4 linked regions of the Saccharomyces cerevisiae S288C genome follow. Changing the gene in region 4 together with the main gene of any one other region gives a genetic interaction. Each region holds a gene or a part of one and is shown on either strand. Other genes may lie near its edges.

Region 1 (4,173 bases), on a different chromosome or scaffold from region 4:
CATTTCCCATGTTAGACCTTTTCTTTGGTTGGAAAAAAGAATGGGAACTTGAGAGAGAGTGAGAAAGATAGTTGGGATTCTCTGATGGCAACTTTTTATATTTGGTACTGTTACCGTTGTTGAATTGTTTCTGGACAGGAATGAGATTTGGGCTTGAATTAACATGAGGCTCAGCCGACTTGGACCTTTGACTAGCGTCGGTGATGTTGTCATATATGGGTTGGCTAATTGGTATTGAATGTGGCTGAGGGGACCAATTTTGATACAACAAGTTATCGGTATTTTCAGGGTCATTAGTTATAGGACTTGAAGAAAAGACTGAATCAATATTCAAAATTTGTGTGTCATCCCTATTAGGTATAGGTGATGCAATTGCAGGTAGCGGTGGGGAGATGAAGGGAGTGTTTGTCAAAGTCTCTATTTTTAACTTAGTATATTTCAAAACATCATCATTCAAAATGGAAAGGATATTGTCCATTACAGTATTTTGTTGGCTGCTGTTCAGCATGGATATCCAAGAACATAATTGGTTGATGTCTTGGCTGAAATTGGTGCCCATGTTCGGATCGTTTTTTTGGGATTGAGACTGTTGTTGCGATTGACGGGATTGCGGCAAAGGAATTGAACCACTCTGCGATGGAATACCCAAAATATTATTTGGAGATCTCTGAAATGAATCCAAATACATAGATGTTGAAGATAAAGTAGATTGCAACGCCTTTGGAGATTGCATCATGGGGGAAACGATAGCAGAACCAGCTGCTGTAGACGAAACTGTTTGAATATTAAGGGAAGGCAACGACGCCTGCTGTTGCTGTTGTTGCTGCTGCTGTTGTTGCTGGAGCGGCTGAGCCCTGGTTCCCGCAGTGTCTAGCATAAAGGATTGCTGATCAAGCATGTCATTGAGTGACATACTATGGGATTGAGGGGACAAAACATTCGCGGTCACGGATGAATTGCCCTGGTTATTGCCAGAATTGCTGCCCGGATTGTTCTTGTTTATGGCAGAAGATTGTGGTGATAGCAAAACGGCGCCTGGATGAGCTCCTCTAGACATGTTATATGGTGACTTGGAACCTGTGGGGAATTCCTCATACGGATGTTTCATGATTTCTTTGCTGACAATTACTTTATATGAACAGTTTTTCTCTTCTGAAAACAATATCTATAGTATATACAGTGATCTAGATTGCCCAAGGGACGAAGTACCAGTGTGACTGCAAAACACAATGTATTCGAGACAATCCTATGGTAGTAGTAGTAGTCGTTGTTAGATATCTCATCGCCAATTTGCTACCAAACTTATTCTGGAAAAAAATAATGAAAAAAATTTGCGTTTTTTCTTTTTCCAACAGATAATTTGCTGTGGTGCACGGTCAAATGGCAGCTGTATAACCATTAACTCTCTCATTGTGGAAGAGGTCTTCTAGGCACAACATCGATGAGAAAGTCAAACATGTCACTCTTTTGCAGGGCCTCTGCGATATCTGCCTTCTGCAAAGTTCGTCTTTTATTCCTTTCTGCCACGCACCAAGCTCTCATAGTCAGTTCTGTAATAAAGATCTCACAGGCTTTGGCGAAAATGATGGGGGCCTCTGCACTAATCATCTTGACATCTTCATCCGTCTTCATGACCTTGCGGATTCTCGCAAATGGTAAGGAATGTGATTTGAAGTCATCTTGATGCTCGGAACCAGGTTCATTCGTAGACTCGATCTCGTTGATTAATTCTTGCCAATAACGGATCATTATCTCCTTGTAGTGGCCCACCAATCCCTGACCAACGTTCCTAAACACATCATACTCTTCATCGTCCTCGTCCATTTCTCCGTCTGCGCCGTCGCTGTTTCCATTATCTTCGCCTTCAAGCGATCCTCGACCACTTGGCGGTAGATTAGCTTGGTCATGGCCCGCCTGGATAGCTTGCAACTCCTGTACCATCCGGAACTCTTCCTCAGAAACAGGTAGCCTCGTATTTTCCCCTTCCCCTTCGTTTTCTTGCAGTTGTTGCTGTTCTGAATATTGCCTTGGCATATTCATTTCCTCTCTCTGAATCATCGTACTGGGTTGCGGTCCCTCCGGGAGCGATTCTTGAGGTCCTTGTCCTTGTTGTGGTGAGAAATTCCTATCAGTCATTATGCGAGTAAACAATCCTGATGCTGCAAATGCGTCACAACTCTTACATTATCTCCTATTCCCCTCTATTCTTCTTCTTTGCTTACGCGGTATTATAGCAGCTAAGGAAGCTTAATCTCCGGAAGCAATCTTAAGGGAGCCGTCCCACGCAAATTTAAGTTTAACTACGGAAAAGGGAGCACAACACTCTTCGATTTTGACATTTCGGGATTTCTACACTCTAGTAAGTATTGCGCTAGGAGGGACCATGATTTACTATGAGGACTTGGCTATGGGGTGCTCAGAATTGCATAAGTGAACTCGAGGATAGCTTTGGGCACTATCACGTACTAAGTGATATGTATTGATATGTAAACCTGCAATGAATGAATGGATTAAAACGGATCTTAATACTGCATAAAAGAGGACGGCAAGAACAGCTGAGAAGCGGTACGCATCTACACAAAGTATGCCAAGAGAATTCAAATCCTTTGGGTCTACAGAAAAGTCTTTGCTGTCAAAAGGACATGGAGAGCCTAGTTACAGCGAAATATACGCTGAGCCTGAGAACTTTTTAGAGATTGAGGTGCACAACCCTAAAACTCATATACCAAATGGGATGGATTCGAAGGGGATGTTTACAGATTACGAAATAATATGCCGTACAAACTTGCCAAGTTTTCACAAGAGGGTATCGAAAGTAAGGAGACGATACTCAGACTTTGAATTCTTCCGCAAATGCTTGATCAAGGAAATTTCTATGCTTAATCACCCAAAAGTCATGGTACCTCATTTACCGGGTAAAATTCTCTTGAGTAATAGATTTAGTAACGAAGTCATTGAAGAGAGGAGACAAGGTTTGAATACCTGGATGCAATCGGTAGCCGGGCACCCGCTTTTACAATCTGGTTCTAAAGTTCTCGTGAGGTTCATTGAAGCTGAAAAGTTTGTCGGCTGAAAAGAACTCTTTTACGTGAATAAATAATATAGATTATATAAAAGAATGAATAGAAAAATTTAAATAAATAATGAATAAAATAATTAAATAAATAATGAATCCTGTGATTAAGTTAGCGTGTACTTTGGTCCATCTCCACCTTCGGGTACTTTCCAAGTAATATCTTGTCTGGGCGCCTTAATATCACAGGTCTTGCAATGGATACAATTTTGTGAATTGATTTGCAGTCTCGTACCCACAGGCGATTTTTCATCTTTGACGAATTCGTAGACACCTGCTGGGCAGAACCTCGATTCAACACCTTTCCAAACGGGAAAGCTTCTCTCGGCGTACTTTACCATATCTTGTCCAGGAACCCTCAAGTGACATGGTTCATCATCATCATGGTAGGTTCCGGTTCTAGACACGGAGGTCAATATATCAAAGGATATCACACCATCAGGCTTGGGGTATTCTATCGGTTTGTACTTGGAAGCAGGTTCCAAAATTTCACCGTCATTTTTTTCATCAAATTTCAGTGTCCACGGAACTTTTCCCTTCAATATCAAAGAATCGATTCCAGAGTAGATCATACCACCATATCCACCAAGTTTCCCGCTGAAGGACGGTCTAATATTACGCACTTCGTATAGTTCCTTATATATCGATGATTCTTTGAATGCACTTTCATATGATTCCAAGTTAATAGTTGCCTCCTTATCAAACATAGCCATTTTGGCGTCTTCGTCTTCAACCTCTTCTAAGACAGGTAACCCTTTTATGGACTCAAAGATACTTTCAGCGGCAAGTAATCCACTCTTCATCGCAGTATGAGTACCCTTGATCTTTGGAACGTTCATGAAACCCGCGCTAGCCCCTACCAAAACACCACCAGGGAAATTCAACTTGGGTACAGATTGCAGTCCACCTTCATTCAATGCTCTTGCAGCATAAGCGATACACTTACCTCCTTCTAAAACTTTTGAATAGTATGGATGATGTTTCATCTTTTGAAACTCTTTGTAAGGTGAAACATAGGGATTCTTATAATCTAACCCCACGACAAGGCCCACAGTGACCAGCCCATCACCAAAATGGTACTGGAAACCACCGCCATAAAC
Region 2 (5,183 bases), on a different chromosome or scaffold from region 4:
TGGATATGTCACCTCGGGATAATGTTTTCTTATATTGTGCACGATCTTTCCTTTAATAAAAGACTCAAGAAGAATGGCATATTTGTAAATTACTGAATCTTTTGCATTGTATGTCATTGCATTCCAAGGAATTTGCGCAAAATCGTTAACAAAATCTTGTGGCGATGTATAATGGGGCAATCGTTTCTTTAAAGTGTTTAAAGATATCGGATTCCTTATTATAATGTAATAGTCTGGATATTCTTTTTTAGGTGGCAGTACATTGAATATTGGATATATTTCTATACCATTTTCATCCTTTAAATGGAAGACAGCATCGTATTGTGTTTTGAGTAGCTTCTGTAAAAACCCATTATCTTGCTCCACCATGCTTGAAATATAATTTTTTTTATCTCTGTTTTGTAGCTAGGGCACTTCACAGATTTTCCCTTCGCTAATACCACACTGTTCCGCCAACTCAGCTTAATTTCAGTTGTAACTCAATTGGGCCTTTGATTAATAAAAAAAAAAGCTTTCCCGAGACAACAATCACTATTGACGGAAAGAGGGTAAGGGAGCAATAAAGAACTATATAAAACGTTAGACAAACGATTTTATAGAGCGCTTATCTGTGTTTATAGCGTTGCTGATAGATTTAGTTAATTCCAATTTGAATCTATCTCATCAGCAATTCATGATATTGCTTTTTCTTAGTATGCTATTTTGATTTCGCGCAATAGTAGGTATAAAAATTGAAAAAATACGAAACGGAATAGCATCTTAAACTATTAAATGGCAGAAATTATAATGAGGTTTGGTACCTATATATTTTGTATAAAGAAAATGCAATTATAAGAATGTTCATACGTGATTATAAGAATCGAGATGAGATGGTAAGTACCTTTTTGGTTACAGCGATTTTTCTTGTTCACTTTTGTAATGTTCGATTATATTCGTTTCAATAACGCCGTCTTCTTGTGTATCGACATCGCCAATAGTGTCATCATAAACTTTGGCAATTTTGACTCTCCAGAACCCATCTTCACCAAGCACATCCTTGGAAACCAATTTGTAGTGGCCCCATCTTGGCAATAATTGGGCCCAAACAACGTAGTAAACACCACCAAAGAAGAAAATACCCCAAGCAATTACACAGTGGATCCAGTATGGCATGCTTGAATACACCGACTCGCCATTTGAAGGTGGAACGTAAGGAGCAATAATCAGGTATAAATTGGATAATGTGAAAAATCCCGTAACAAAAACACCGGCCTTAATTGGTGGGTTCCATTCAATTTTACCTTGTCTACGTTGCCAGTATATCCAAAGCAAACCCGCGCTAATGGCAAAATTAATAATATTCATTGGGTAGGAAATTAAATTTTGGACTAGCAAATATGCATCACCTGGAGGTGGGGCTAAAATGGTTACTGTACAAACAATAAAATGTTGAAACAAACCAACCATTGGGGAGTTGAATGGCTTAGAAGAGGCAAAGAAATTAGAAAAGGGCAACACACCTTCACGTCCTAGTTGTTGAATAATTCTACCCTGAGAAAAAATGACAGAAAGAACATTTCCTAAGGCACTCAACCCGACCAGTGCGGCTGCTGCTCTCTTGGCTTGGCCGCCAAACACAATATCGAAGAAGTCAGCAGCTAAAATCAATTTTGAAGAAATTAACTTATCTTTTGGAACCACAGCGAAGTAAGCAATGTTCACAAAAATGTAGATTATAGCCAAGAAGACCATCGATGTAGGACCAGCAATCTTCAAAGTTCTCACAGGGTTCTTAACTTCACCAAGTGCATAGTTAACATTGGAGTAACCGACAAACGACCAAATAACACTATATAAGGCGTTAACAATACCATAAGCAGTGGCGGTTTCAGTACCTTCAAAAGCATTACGAAAGTTGTGAGATTGATAACCATCTTTGAGACCACCGCCAAGGGCAACCCAACCGGTAATAGAAATGAAGAGGACAATACCAATCTTGAAAATACCTAAAATGTTTTGCAAATATAGACCAATCTTGACATTCAGAGAATTAATTAGGAATGCAAAAAAAACGACGGCCACACCAATACCTCTTTGATTCCATTTGGTCACTTCAGTATCAGCAGCAGTTAAAAACATAATAGCTGTATTGATGGAATTACCAGCAGCCCAACCTAGGAAGAAAATATACGCAGCATACATACAGGTAATGAAGAATTTTGGTTTCCTGAAAATAGCCTCCAGGTAGTTTTTTTCACCACCATTTTTCGGTATAGCCGTACCGAATTCCATGTATACATATAACCCAGAAATGGCAATAATGGCGCCAACTGCCCACATAATTAATGCAAGCCCCACAGACCCACATAGTGTGTAAATGGTCGAGGAAACGGCGAAAACACCGGTACCAAGCATTCTATTACAGATAAGCCCAATACACGACAAAATACCTAACTGCTTTTCACCTTGGTCCAATTCTGTAGCAAATTGCTGGCCTGCCTCAAAATCGGAGGCACCGTTGTCAGCATCCACTGTCGAGTTACTTACTTCCTTTTTTGTAGTAGAAGAAGAAAATTGATAGTTCTCCTTGTTGAAGACATTCAACTGTGACAGAAACGTTCTTCCTTCCGACATTGCTCCGCCTTTGTTTTCTCTTCTCTTGTCTTTAAAGATTTCTACAGAATGTGAAACTAATCCAAAAACAAAATATGATGAACAGCGGAAAAGTTTGTGTGAGAATCATCCTTATATATATATACTGTATGTAATCTTACATCACCATATGAAAATAACGGGCTGACTCAAGAAATTCACCGCCAAGTAGGAGGAACCACATTTGTAATGCAAGACTGTGTTATGTGTTACCATGGTGTGCAATAACTGCGAAGGTAGCACCGCTTGAGTCAACTGTGGCAGTTTATTAGATGCCACTCGAGTGTGGTGAACGGCAATTCCACAGTCTAACTTTTCAGTTGGCGCCGTGCCATCTCCTGGCTGCTAGGCCGATCTGTTATACAAAACCCTACACGGCGCCGTTTCTTTTTTTTTTTTCTTTTTCTGTGGCAAAGCGGCGACAGCGACGCTAAAAAAAACTGTGGTGGCGGATGCAGCGCCGGCTTACGGAGCCGAAGTGACACTCCATATTCATTTATTGCCTGGCGGTATCGTGGCATACATTGTAAGATGCGGCTGGTGGCAATCCGCCAAGAAGAGACGTAAAAATAAGGAAAATGCTCACTAATTATGTATGTATCAATTACTATTTGATGTTAAAAAAATATGTGGAAAAGTACAATAAAACAAGGGAAAAAAAGAAAGGGGGGAGGTTGGCGTAATTCTCCTGGGAAACAGTAAAAAACAATTCAAAGTAGTATTATTTGACGTTGTTAATATTTACACAGTTGTATGGATACATCAGTTTCTTCTAGTTTATTCATCCTTCCAACCCAACTTTTCCAAATCTTTCAACACTTTTTCTTCAGTTTGAATTTTTAGAACTTGCGTATCTTCTAGTTTGTCACCGACGGCCTGTCTTTCCTTCAAGGTTTCAATAGCCCTTAATTTCTTTAGTAAAGATCTTATTTTCTTCTCCTCTGGAGAAGTTTCTTTATTGTTTGTGGGGGCATTTGTGGAGGCAGGAGCAGATGGGGCCGGAGTAGAATCAGGTGACGTTTCACTTGACTTTTTATTGGCTCTTCTTCTCCTGTTCTTGGTGTTGGCGTCCTTGTTGGCACTCATGCCCGGAACTAGCCCTGGGATGGTCTTCTTTGCTGCACCAGGAGGAACTCCGGGGACAATACGTCCACCGCCTGTTCTTCTTGCGTGAGGTGGTTTATAAGCGCCTCCAGCTTTGGCCTTAGATCCGTTTCCATTGGAGCTTGCTTCTCTGCTTGGGTGTTGACTTATGTACTCTTGAACGCTAGAATGTATTTGCAATTCTGATTTATTGGATATTTTAGGATCAAGTGAAGATGTGGTCGAATCAGGTAGCGGTTCCCAGTTATTAATGATATGGTTCTCGAAAAATGCTTCGTCTTTGTTTTCCAAAGTTTTGTAATTACATGGTGACCTCCAGTCTACCTTCAAAAGCTCCTTGAACTCTTTAACAAATACTAAAGAGCCTGATACATGCCATATTTTAACGCCGTTATCCACTCTCAATCTTGGTGAAGTGGTAGCTGTCATGATAAATTCTCCACCCGGTGACCATTTGCAGACAGAAGTGTTGGTAGCGTCAAATTTACTCACACACTTGAATTTGTCGAGACGATCTAGGATTTCCACGGAGCCCTGTAAATTACCAAACCCGGCGATAAGAATGTAATGACCAGAGGGAGAGAAAAGCATGGTATTTTTGGCTTGTTGAGGTAATGAATGGACAACATTACCTCTTAAGTCAAAAAAGGAAATGGTTGCTGGCATGTAACCAGCGATGACACCGAATTGCCTTGAAGTTGGCGACCAAGTGAAATCGTGGACAGGTCCAGTGGTTAAAGAAACACGTACAGAGTTACCACCCAAAGTCCCGTTGACACCTTGGAAAGACAGTAAGTATAGTGTGTTTTCACCATAATATGATTTGTTTGAGGAATCAAAATCAGTAATAGCTAAACATAAAATAGCATTACCTAATGGATTCCATTTCAATTGGCAGGAATCAGCTTTAAAGAAAGTTTTGGAGGCAATTTTCTTGGTGATTTTACCTTCAGAGAGGGCCCATATGATTAATTGAGCCGGTTTACCACCCTTTTCTGGTGTGAAAGTACAAATTGTTGGATGTTCAGCTGGAGAGATTAGGTAGGTGGTGAAATGTTGGGACGTTTCATCATCAGACAAGACAGCAAACGGAGATTGGAAGTCGAAATTGTCGGCATTAGCGGAGCTTAATTTAACAATCTTCAAGTCGTGTTTAAAAAGTCTTAGCCCATAATTGTCTAATTTGGAGAATTGTAAAAACCAACCGCTTTGGGATTTGGCTTGATATTCGTAAGCAGGGACTATATCCTCCGAAACGCAATCTTTCTTAAATGGTTTATTCAAATACCAAACTTTAACGTTCTTGTGATTTGGGTCTTGTATAGACGCTCTCTCCCAAGTGCTTAAGTAGTTACCTGCTGGAGAGAAGTGTAGGTCATAGACGTCGGACAACTTCATTGTTAATAGAACGTTATCCAAACATGGACCTGTAAAAACTTTGACGTTCT
Region 3 (5,221 bases), on a different chromosome or scaffold from region 4:
ATTAACGTCGGCGACACTCCATGCGTATTGACCAAGGAAGATTATAGAACTTTAGGTGCAATGACTGAAGGTTATTCCGGGAGTGATATTGCTGTAGTGGTGAAAGATGCGCTAATGCAACCGATAAGAAAAATTCAAAGCGCGACACATTTCAAAGATGTCTCTACGGAGGACGACGAAACAAGAAAACTAACACCATGCTCTCCAGGTGATGATGGCGCCATCGAGATGAGTTGGACGGATATTGAAGCTGATGAATTAAAAGAACCAGATCTCACCATAAAGGATTTCTTAAAGGCTATCAAATCGACGAGACCTACCGTGAATGAGGATGACTTGCTGAAGCAAGAACAGTTCACTAGAGATTTTGGTCAAGAAGGTAACTAGTCAATTGATTAACGTGCTAATGTAGATTTCTTGTGTACATGAAAATAAAAAATAAAAAAAAAAAAAAAACAGAATAATTAAATACAGAATCGTATGCAAAATAGATAAAGAAAAGCAGAGGACAGTTAACTCTTCCCTTTACTTAGAAACATTGTTCTGTTCTCATTATTGGATACCCTAGCATTATCAATTCTAACTTTAACAACGGCGGTGTTCTTTTCAAATATAAAAGCTTTCGCATCAGGATTAGCCTTTAGTATTAAATCTTTATAGTACTTGGATTCTTCACTTTCAGGATTGACAATTTCGGTTTCGCCACCAATAGATGCGCTCATTTGGTTCAATTCGGCTTGATTTAACTCCTGTAACAAATTTAAAAGCTCGCTTTGACGTTGCTCTTCATGAGGAATAGAAGTCGGCGTCGGAGTCCCAGAGATGCTTTCCTTGCCCACTGACAAATTATTCGCGATGATCCAATCGTGAAACAACAGGGCGACCTTAGGGTTCTCCTTGATGTTGTAAAACTTTTGTGTGTCCTGAGGAGAAACAAATATAATGTAGTCATTCTTATTATCTGTTTGACCGAACAGTTTTTCACCTGGCACATAGATATAGTTCATCAATGCCACTGAAGGGATGCAGTCTTTAGAACAGGTGGCCACGTGAACATATTTGGAGTTTTTGATCAGGTTCAGTAGATGCGCTGGTAATGTACTAGTCCAAGCCATAATTGAGATGTTTCAGGGTTTGAATAGCCTGTAATTTTACTGCTATTTTCTAATAAGGGAGGAAAAGTGTAGCAAAAAGATCGATGATTTATATTCCTTCAGGTTCATAAGGGGAGCAAATGTCAAAGCGCAAACGTGGGAAGTGACGATAATACATGTATCCCATTAAATTATCATATTATTGTTACATCATATGTACGTACATACATGTGTAAAATACGGAGGTCTACTCTGTAGTTACACGCGTGTTGGAAGTTTTCTTCTGGGACCACGAGTCCTATTTTTATTCGGGTGAACTAATGGTTTAGTTTCCTTCACTGTTTCATCTCTAGAAGTAGTATACTTGTCAGAAGTTGCAATATTAGTGTTAACACCGCTAAGTTCTGGTAGAGTATTAGATGCTCTTAAGTTTCTAGAGGCAATTATTGCGTCTAATTTTGCGTTTATGCTCAGTTCGTTTGAGGACTCTAAAACAGGCTCGGTTTTAGATTTTTTCATCAATTCGACTTTTCGCAATGCCTCTGGCAAAGAAATTTTACGTTGTGGCGCCGTTGGTGGCCGTTTCTTCAGGTTATTCCGCAATGATAGAGCTTCAATTTCGTCATTTAACTTGTTAATATCATCACCATTTTTGAGTGTAGTATTTTTCGAATTATTTGTTAGAAATGATTTTTTCTGAGGGATTGCAGGCTTCTGCTGTTTGGTTTTCTTCAGATTTTGTATACCTTTTATTGCTTCTGGAATACTGTCCTCCTCTTCTTTTTTAATGTTACGGTTGCTGGATCGTAACTTGGGCAAATCGATTGAGTTTTCGAAGTTCTGCTTTGTTGGAGAAGTTTCTACGGGACGTAGCTCAGGTAATACTATATTCAACTCCACTTTCTTTGGCGGTATGCTTGGTTTGGTCTTATGGGCGGCCAAATTTGCATTCCGTAGCTTTTGAGGTTTTTCAGGCAAAGAAGGCTTGGAAGTTGTCGTGAGATTCGAGTTTAGCATAGACTTGATAAAACTTTCAGATCTTGGAATTCTTTTCGCAGGTGGAGAAGGAGGGGTTGGTTTAGGTTTATTTTTCATTGTAGGAGATAAGGTGGTTGGTTTTAGTTGTATGGAATCCAAGTAATCGATATGAGAACTTTTTACAGTTGTTTTGGGAGTTTCCATTTCCGAATTATAACTCTTCGCCTTTGTCAATTTGTTATCTTCCAAAGAACTTAAAAAGCTCGCCGGTTTTGTAGAGCGTGAGACAGGTGGAGCAGGCTTAACGCGCTCAGGTACCACAGCATCCGGTTTTATTGACCTTGATGACGGACTTTCTGTAACTTCTGCTTTGTTAGGCCTTGTTGGAAGAAGCGGTTTCTCTTCATTCCCATCTGTGATTTTGATATGATCACGCCTTGTGGGCAAAGGCGGTGGTGATGAAGAAGAGGAGGAGGAGGGTATATCGGCTCTTCCTGGTAATTCAAAATCATATTGGATGGTGATTATTTCCTTCTCTCTCGGTCTGGGTCGACCCCGACTGGGCATACGAGGACCTTTTTCAAAGGAAGGCAAATTTTTGTCAGCATTGGAATCATTATATGTTTGAGAGGCTTTCAATTTCTGCAATAATAAATAATCTTCTTCAGAAATTAAAAATTTTTTTTCTTTTTGAGAGGCACTTCCCTCCAAATCCGGCCTTGGCGTTATTCGTTCGAGATTCAGCTCACTTAATGAGTAATGAGTCTTCTTTGGAGAAAACGTCATTTCATAATTGTACGCAGATCGGTAGGCCAAATTGTCGCAACCTTCCACATTTTTCCCTGTCATCATATCAGCCCTTCTGTATTCCCCAGAGTTGTGACTTCTAACTGGTGAAAGCGCTTCCCCCGCTGGTTTTGAACTAGGAATATTACTGTATCTCTTAGAGTTCAAATCCTCCACTTTCGATAGAAAGTTCACCAATTCAGGGTCACGCTCATATTTTGTCATACTTCCGAAACTTCGAAAAGCTAGGAAAAGCTGGTTACTGTGACTTTTATTGATTAGAATTCATATATAAATGTATATATTTATACTATATATTCTTTCATAATATTTCACTCAATTCGCTATTGTCGAAAAGTGTAATAAAAAAGAATGTCACATGGAACGAGGTTACGATAAGTATATAGAACAGTTGGACGATATTAATGCATTTGGTATTATCCTATTGGCTTCAAGACTAACGCAACTCGATCGAAGGTTTTCTTCTGGCTAGGTAAACTTGGAACCCACAGAATACGAAAAACACGAGGTATACCAAGGCAGCCAAATAAACAGTATGTGCAACACTATAAACAATAGGGTTAAAATATAATTGTTAGTAAGGAGGAGAGATATAAGAGATGGTAAATGGGTAACGGCGAAATAAATAAGAAAATATAACATACGCAGGTCCATCTTCAGGATCGTTTATTGATCCTACAAAGGATTCATGGTTTGTGTTGAAGAGATGAGCAATGACGGAAAGAATTACTACACCAAATGCCGATAGGACGGTACAACACCATGCCTTACCAGTGGATACAACGGGTCTCATTTTTTTTGCGGTGTTTGCTTCTAGCTTTGTCCTTTATCGTAGAGGTTCTTGCTTTGAAAGCTACCTATTCTTTTCTTTTCCCTTAAGCTATTTTTCAAATAATAGAAAAAAGAGTCGCGTGCAAAGCGATAAGCAATTTTTTTCAGTCTTTAAAAAAAATGATCCTGAACAGCAGCATCTTTATTATGCAGCGTTGATGCAGTTTCTAACTCAATTAGTTGAATCACCTACGCTCTTCTGTGTTTGCACTCAGTAGTATTGTGGTGTTCTTTTCGATATTCTCAGATACCGTTTATTGTGCGCCATACCGATGGATGCAGAAATATCATTTAAATAGTTAAGCCAGGAAGTGGCTGAGACATATTATCAATATTTCGGCACGTAAAGCTAGGCGGCTTTACTGAACATCAGCACCTTGAATTTCATGTTGCCTTGTATGTACAAACTAAACCCTTACTCAGTAATAAAAACTAAAATGTGTCTTCTAGTTATGAATGCTCTTAGTATAACTCTCATGAAGCAGTCAAGTCACTTTCATGTATTTTATAATACGAGGCGAATGTCTAGGCTAAGTTAAAAAACTAGATATAGAAACCATTCCCGAAATATCATATAATTATAATATCCTGGACACTTTACTTATCTAGCGTATGTTATTACTCGATAAGTGCTAAAGGAGGTGCACGCATTATGGAGACCACTACGATACGATAGCTGCGTTGTTGTTGAAGGGGTTTCTTAAGGTTGTTTTCGTTGAAGGTAAATATTGGTCGTTTTTGTGCAGCATATTGTCCTCTAGATGCAAACTCTGCAGGTCCATTTGCAGTAAAGTGAGTTGCCTCTCGAAGAATCATTAATTTCGTATAACCGTCACTATTAAAGTCAGAAAATAAATTCTGTCGTAGACAATGTTACCATAATGTTCTTGTCCATTTTGCATACACTTTAAATATTCATTTGATTTCTCAGGGTTCATGATCATAATAAATTGCGCATTCGCAAGGCGGTAGTATTATAATGGGGTCCATCATTCTGTAGCAAGAAGTTACAGTACGCTGTTCAAGCGTTAAACAAGATAAGTAATCTCGAATGAAACATTCATATTTCGCATGAGCCAACATACAGTTGCTGAGTAATCTTCATTGCGCTTATTTATCGGCATTGAGATTGTAAAGGAAGTAAAACGCATTTTTGCAGATCTGTTCTCTTATGTATTTTTAATCGTCCTTGTATGGAAGTATCAAAGGGGACGTTCTTCACCTCCTTGGAATGTGTTCCACTATCCTGTACATGTGAAATGTATAAAAGCCAAAATTGACCTTGTCATTACCAATGAATGCTGTTTTTGCAGAAATAACGAGATATCTGCAATAAAAGCAAAAGTAAGTTTGATAGCAAGAGGTTGTTGTGTTGAAATGAGTGGTAATGAATCGTAATATGAGTTGCTATGGTAACAATTTAAATGCACCCATTGTATATGTTTTAGTGTGAAGGTACCTATTGCAAAAGGAAACGTTAAAAGAGTAGCTCAGACAGTGCTGAAGCAGAG
Region 4 (4,793 bases):
AACTAATCTCTGCAAGACATATCTTCCATATTTTCACAATTATTTAAGCCGATTGCAACAACATTCACCATAGGTGCCTTTTCTGCGGCAATGCGTAGCCCTATAATTAGCTGCTTGAATGAGAAAACCACAAAAAGGGGGATTGAATACATAGCATAGCTTACACTGTATCTTAGTAATTTTTTTCCCTTCTACTTTGTTTTTCGCAGGGCCTTTGCCTTTGGAAAAGGGTACACGAGTCTTAAGAGAAATGAAAAAAAATGACACTAAATCGGTGATAATAATTTGTCGTTGTGACCACAAAAAAGAATTCATAAAAAAAAAAACTTGATCATTGGCGCCACAACCTAGTCATATTTGAAATCATTTTTTTCCTTTATTTTTTACCACAGGGTGCGTTTAGAAGAGACACAAAATCACTCTAGGGTTTTCTATCGAACATAAAGTAAATCATTTTTATATTCCAAAATTGCTCGAAGTAAATCTCTTGTTTTCCTCCCAAATGAAGATCAATATTAAACCTTTCTGAAAATCTTTTTTAATACAGATTACATTATAGAGTTGTATACTCTTCGATCATTTAACTTCTCTTTTATGGGTCATATATCTCTAATTGTCTCTACAGTACTTTTTTTGCTTTTCCAATAAAAATCATAATCACAGCCATAGTCACAAAACTATAAGATGAAAGTACAAATGATAGAAAGGATTTTTCTGATCCAGTTGTGTTTGCTTACCGTTGTATTAGCAAGTAGTAGAGCAGTGGTTGAATTCGAAAGTACCGGAACCAAACTGGTCAACTCATTAAGGGTCTTGGCTGCTTACTCGCAGAGTTCTGTCTGTGTTGATGAAAAAATATCTGGAATCGAGAGACAAATAGAGGAAGTTAAAGATATGTATGGTAACCACTCTTTTATTCTAAAGGGTTTAAATGGTATATTGAATAACAAGGTGAATATGCTAACAAGGGAAATCCAAATGGAAACTGTTGGCAATAACACATTTGAAACAGAAACAGGGAAGCTAACTAAGGGCCTAAACCGAGCAGTAAATATATCTCCGTTCAAGTACATAAAAAAATTCAAGACCGTTTCAACAAAGAAATTTGAAAGCCTCTTGAATAAGTATGATCTGGTTGCCAAGAAGGGCGGGGAATTGACAGAGGAACAAAAGAAAAAGAAGGAGGTGCTCTCACGGATCAGTAGAGTAGTCGCTGCAACAACGATAGAGGCTGGTCTGGCACAAGGTGTGGTTGATTTATGTATAACAGTGACAACTAGTCTATGCTTAGTCTCGGCCAGCATTGGAGGCGTCGGATTTCTTATTTGGCTCACCATTATATACCAAGCTCTGACTTAGGAAAATGTTGCCGATTTTGTTTTTGCCACTCCTGTACATTGTTTAATCTCAGATCGTTGTATATATATACATATATATAGTGTTTTAACGACATTCTTATATTTGCATTTCTGCTTCTTATTACACCTAACTATTCTGTAACTGCCATGGGTAAGCATTTTTGAAGTATTAATTAACAATTAAACTTTCAAACATACCCACCCTTTCGTTGGAATAAAAATCAATTAACACCCACTGACTAGTAAATATTACTAGAATAACTGATGATTATGCCAATTTTCTGACAGTTGTTGGGTTTCCATTGTTGACGAAGGTCCTATTATTAGATATACGGAACATACTAGATCTCTCGAGCCTATCGGAACCTACTAAGCGGAATCGGCAATATACATGTTATTCATTTTTTTCGTTTTTCGTTTTACATTATTAATTTTACGTCTCAACTTGGTTCAATTTCAGAGACAGCATCTCATCACATCTATCATCTTTTTGTACCACATAAGGTAATATACACGTAATAATAGGCAATAGATGTGTGCGAATGAACTTCCAATATAATCCATTTAGTAGTGCCTTTTGTTACTAATATTCGTCAGTTTCTCAAGCTGACACTTGATTTATTCTAAACAAATTTCAATCTTGGACAATTAGTTGACATAAACTACGTTACTAATTTTTGTTGTATTAAGGGCTTAAATAATACCGGATGTCTTGGCAATTCTATCGTTAGGAGAGTAATAGTTGTCAGACTTATTGTCGGCTTGTTCGCACATCGTTACTTATCCTATATTATACATAAGATCTGGTGAAGCGAGGAGTCCCATGTCTAAACCGATTGCTCAGGTATTTACAGGTTTAACTGCTTCATTTAAGCAAGCAATTATTGAATTATATACTCAATCTTGTCTCTCCCGTTACTATTATTTCATTCGCGTTTTATACATCTTTATTATTATAAGTTTGATACGGTAACTTTACAATCGATTAATTTCTGCTGAAAGCCCAAGCTTTCATAAATTAATAGGTTTCGTGGTCTAGTCGGTTATGGCATCTGCTTAACACGCAGAACGTCCCCAGTTCGATCCTGGGCGAAATCAATTTTTTGTTTTTTTAATTCACAAGAATAACCTGGTATTGTTATAAGCAAGCCACCCTTTGCGTACGATCAAACACCCTATAAAATCTATATGCAATACTGAGATATTGTATTTTTTCTCCTTTAATTGTTTATAGTTCAGAATAACAGTTCAAAAATCTATGCCGCGCTCACAGGGTCCTGCCGGGTATTCGCCCTCCAGCTTGAAAGGGGTGGCAATGCCCAAGAGCGATGTATAGTTTAGTATCAAGGAATTGAGAGAGGTATTACACCAAGGATTTCCGTGAACGAAGTGACGACGCAAGATTAACAGATTAAATTCTGGTAGTAGGCTAAGCCGTTATTAAACTTTATTTACGGTATACCACAATACTGCTCTTTTTGTTGAGGATATGACAGACAAAGGCAAGAACGATTTAACAAGCAAAGCTAAGGACAAAGCCAGAGGCAACCCCGAGAAGCCACCATATTGGTTTGAAATCATTGTTTCTGATCCACAAAAAAGAACTGGTGACCCAGGCTCTTCATCTGGCTACGTGAGTTATCAGATATCAACAAAGACTAACAACACGTCATTTTATGATAATCGTGGCGATCCAGAATCTATTATAGTTGTACATAGAAGATACAGTGACCTATTGCTCCTGCATGATATTTTACTCAACAGGTTCCCCACCTGCATCATCCCGCCATTACCTGATAAGAAAGTTTTTCAATACATAGCAGGCGATAGGTTTAGCCAAAGATTTACACAAAAGAGATGTCATAGTTTGCAAAATTTCCTAAGAAGGGTCTCTTTGCATCCCGATCTTTCTCAATCAAAAGTCTTCAAAACTTTTTTGGTGAGTAAAGATTGGGAATCTCACCGCAAAGTCCTCCAGGATAGCTTGCAACCAAATAAAGATGAAGTTACTGATGCTTTTATGAATGCCTTCAAAACAGTTCACAAGCAAAACGAAGAATTCACTGAGATAAGGGAGAAAAGTGATAAACTAGATCGGACTGTGACAAAGATAGATAAACTTTTTCATAAGGTTGTGAAAAAAAATGATTCGATGTCTGAAGACTATACAAAGTTGGGCAGTAATTTACAGGAATTACAAGAATTGGTCACAGGCGAAAACGAGGAACTTGCTGCGAAGTTGAAGATTTTTAATGAAGGTGTAACACAGCTGTCATATGGCTTGCAAGATCTTACAAAGTATCTGGATTACGAATATATTGTTGATTTGAAGGATCTTGAACACTACATTGATAGTATGCGACAGCTGATCAAATTGAAAGACCAGAAACAGATAGACTACGAAGAACTAAGTGATTATTTAACCAGGTCAATCAAAGAAAAAAATAACTTGATTTCTGGATACGGAGGTAGTAATTTCTTTGCCAATAAATTGGAAGAACTAGCGGGAATAAATCAGGAGGCTTCACGTAGAGAAAAAATCAATAAACTAGAAGGCAAAATAACGTCATTAACAGGTGAATTAGAAAACGCTAAAAAGGTGGCGGATGGATTCGAACAGGAATGCTTGAAGGAAATAGACCATTTCGAAAGTGTAAAAACGGCTGAAATCAAGAAATCTCTGGGCTCACTAGCGGACCATCATATCGAATTCTACGAAAGGATACTTGAAGCATGGGAAAAAGTAGACGATAGTCTATAGTGGTGCTCTTAATGTTTTCCCATTACTACTGATAATACCTTGGGCACTACGATTATCTGATCACATTTAACAGAGAAATTTAAAAAAAGAAAAATATCTATATAAAAATATGTAAATGTTGCTATTATTTTATGATGTTCTGATTTTTTTCGTCAAACCTTAGATTTCTTATGTACATTAAACTTAAACATTTTGCATTGTTCTTCCAGTTCTTGGATTATATTATCTTGGTGGGAGTCAATCAAATCCCAATCGACGCTATTACTGGACAAGTCAACTTTATTCGCAAAACAAGTCCTGTAATCATCACCAAAAGTCTCAATGAATGCTTCTTCATTAAGATACTTTGACCATTCCATAGGCGGAAACGTGTTTTTATCCAACACTCTGTCACTCTTGGACCGTGGCTTTGGCGCCCTTTCATTTTGTCTTACATAAAAGTATCTCAGCAGCATTATTGCTTCTTTCCTCAAGATCCCCGGTATACTCTCGTACCCTGCCGCACTATTGTTCTTGGGCACTAATGTACACGTATCATGATTTACTGACAAGACAGTACCGTTGCCTCCAAATCTCTCGTTGCCACAACCGAACACCACCTTTCCAATGTCTAATTGCTTGAGAGCAGATGCACACATTATACACGGTTCTACAGTAACATATAGAGTAATGTC

The links.
Region 1: of SNX4 (region 4) and SNX3, changing one enhances a phenotype caused by changing the other (phenotypic enhancement), as found in Saccharomyces cerevisiae (2 studies listed by BioGRID, with this or other methods).
Region 2: mutations in SNX4 (region 4) and MUP1 together harm fitness more than expected from each alone (negative genetic interaction), as found in Saccharomyces cerevisiae (2 studies listed by BioGRID).
Region 3: mutations in SNX4 (region 4) and BSP1 together harm fitness more than expected from each alone (negative genetic interaction), as found in Saccharomyces cerevisiae (2 studies listed by BioGRID).

What each region holds. Positions count from the first base shown.
Region 1 is NC_001147.6:1,008,124-1,012,296, reverse strand, and holds SNX3 (Snx3p), read left to right. Parts: upstream 1-2,584; coding exon 2,585-3,073; downstream 3,074-4,173. Other genes in the region: VTS1 (Vts1p), read right to left, coding at 1-1,108; HAP5 (Hap5p), read right to left, coding at 1,408-2,136; CIR2 (electron-transferring-flavoprotein dehydrogenase), read right to left, coding at 3,181-4,173. UniProt on the Saccharomyces cerevisiae protein: Required for retention of late Golgi membrane proteins. Component of the retrieval machinery that functions by direct interaction with the cytosolic tails of certain TGN membrane proteins during the sorting/budding process at the prevacuolar compartment.
Region 2 is NC_001139.9:596,847-602,029, reverse strand, and holds MUP1 (Mup1p), read right to left. Parts: upstream 2,614-5,183; coding exon 889-2,613; downstream 1-888. Other genes in the region: RSC subunit protein RSC1, read right to left, coding at 1-369; YGR054W (translation initiation factor 2A), read right to left, coding at 3,409-5,183. UniProt on the Saccharomyces cerevisiae protein: High affinity permease for methionine.
Region 3 is NC_001148.4:881,690-886,910, reverse strand, and holds BSP1 (Bsp1p), read right to left. Parts: upstream 3,084-5,221; coding exon 1,353-3,083; downstream 1-1,352. Other genes in the region: AAA family ATPase VPS4, read left to right, coding at 1-387; YPR172W (pyridoxal 5'-phosphate synthase), read right to left, coding at 513-1,115; YPR170W-B (uncharacterized protein), read right to left, coding at 3,316-3,424, 3,524-3,672. UniProt on the Saccharomyces cerevisiae protein: Recruits the capping protein complex to actin patches and the actomyosin contractile ring, and/or stabilizes their interaction. May serve as an adapter to link INP52 and INP53 to the cortical actin cytoskeleton. Binds F-actin.
Region 4 is NC_001142.9:375,978-380,770, forward strand, and holds SNX4 (Snx4p), read left to right. Parts: upstream 1-2,847; coding exon 2,848-4,119; downstream 4,120-4,793. Other genes in the region: IRC18 (Irc18p), read left to right, coding at 685-1,359; TAD2 (tRNA(adenine34) deaminase), read right to left, coding at 4,272-4,793. UniProt on the Saccharomyces cerevisiae protein: Sorting nexin, involved in the separation or division of vacuoles throughout the entire life cycle of the cells.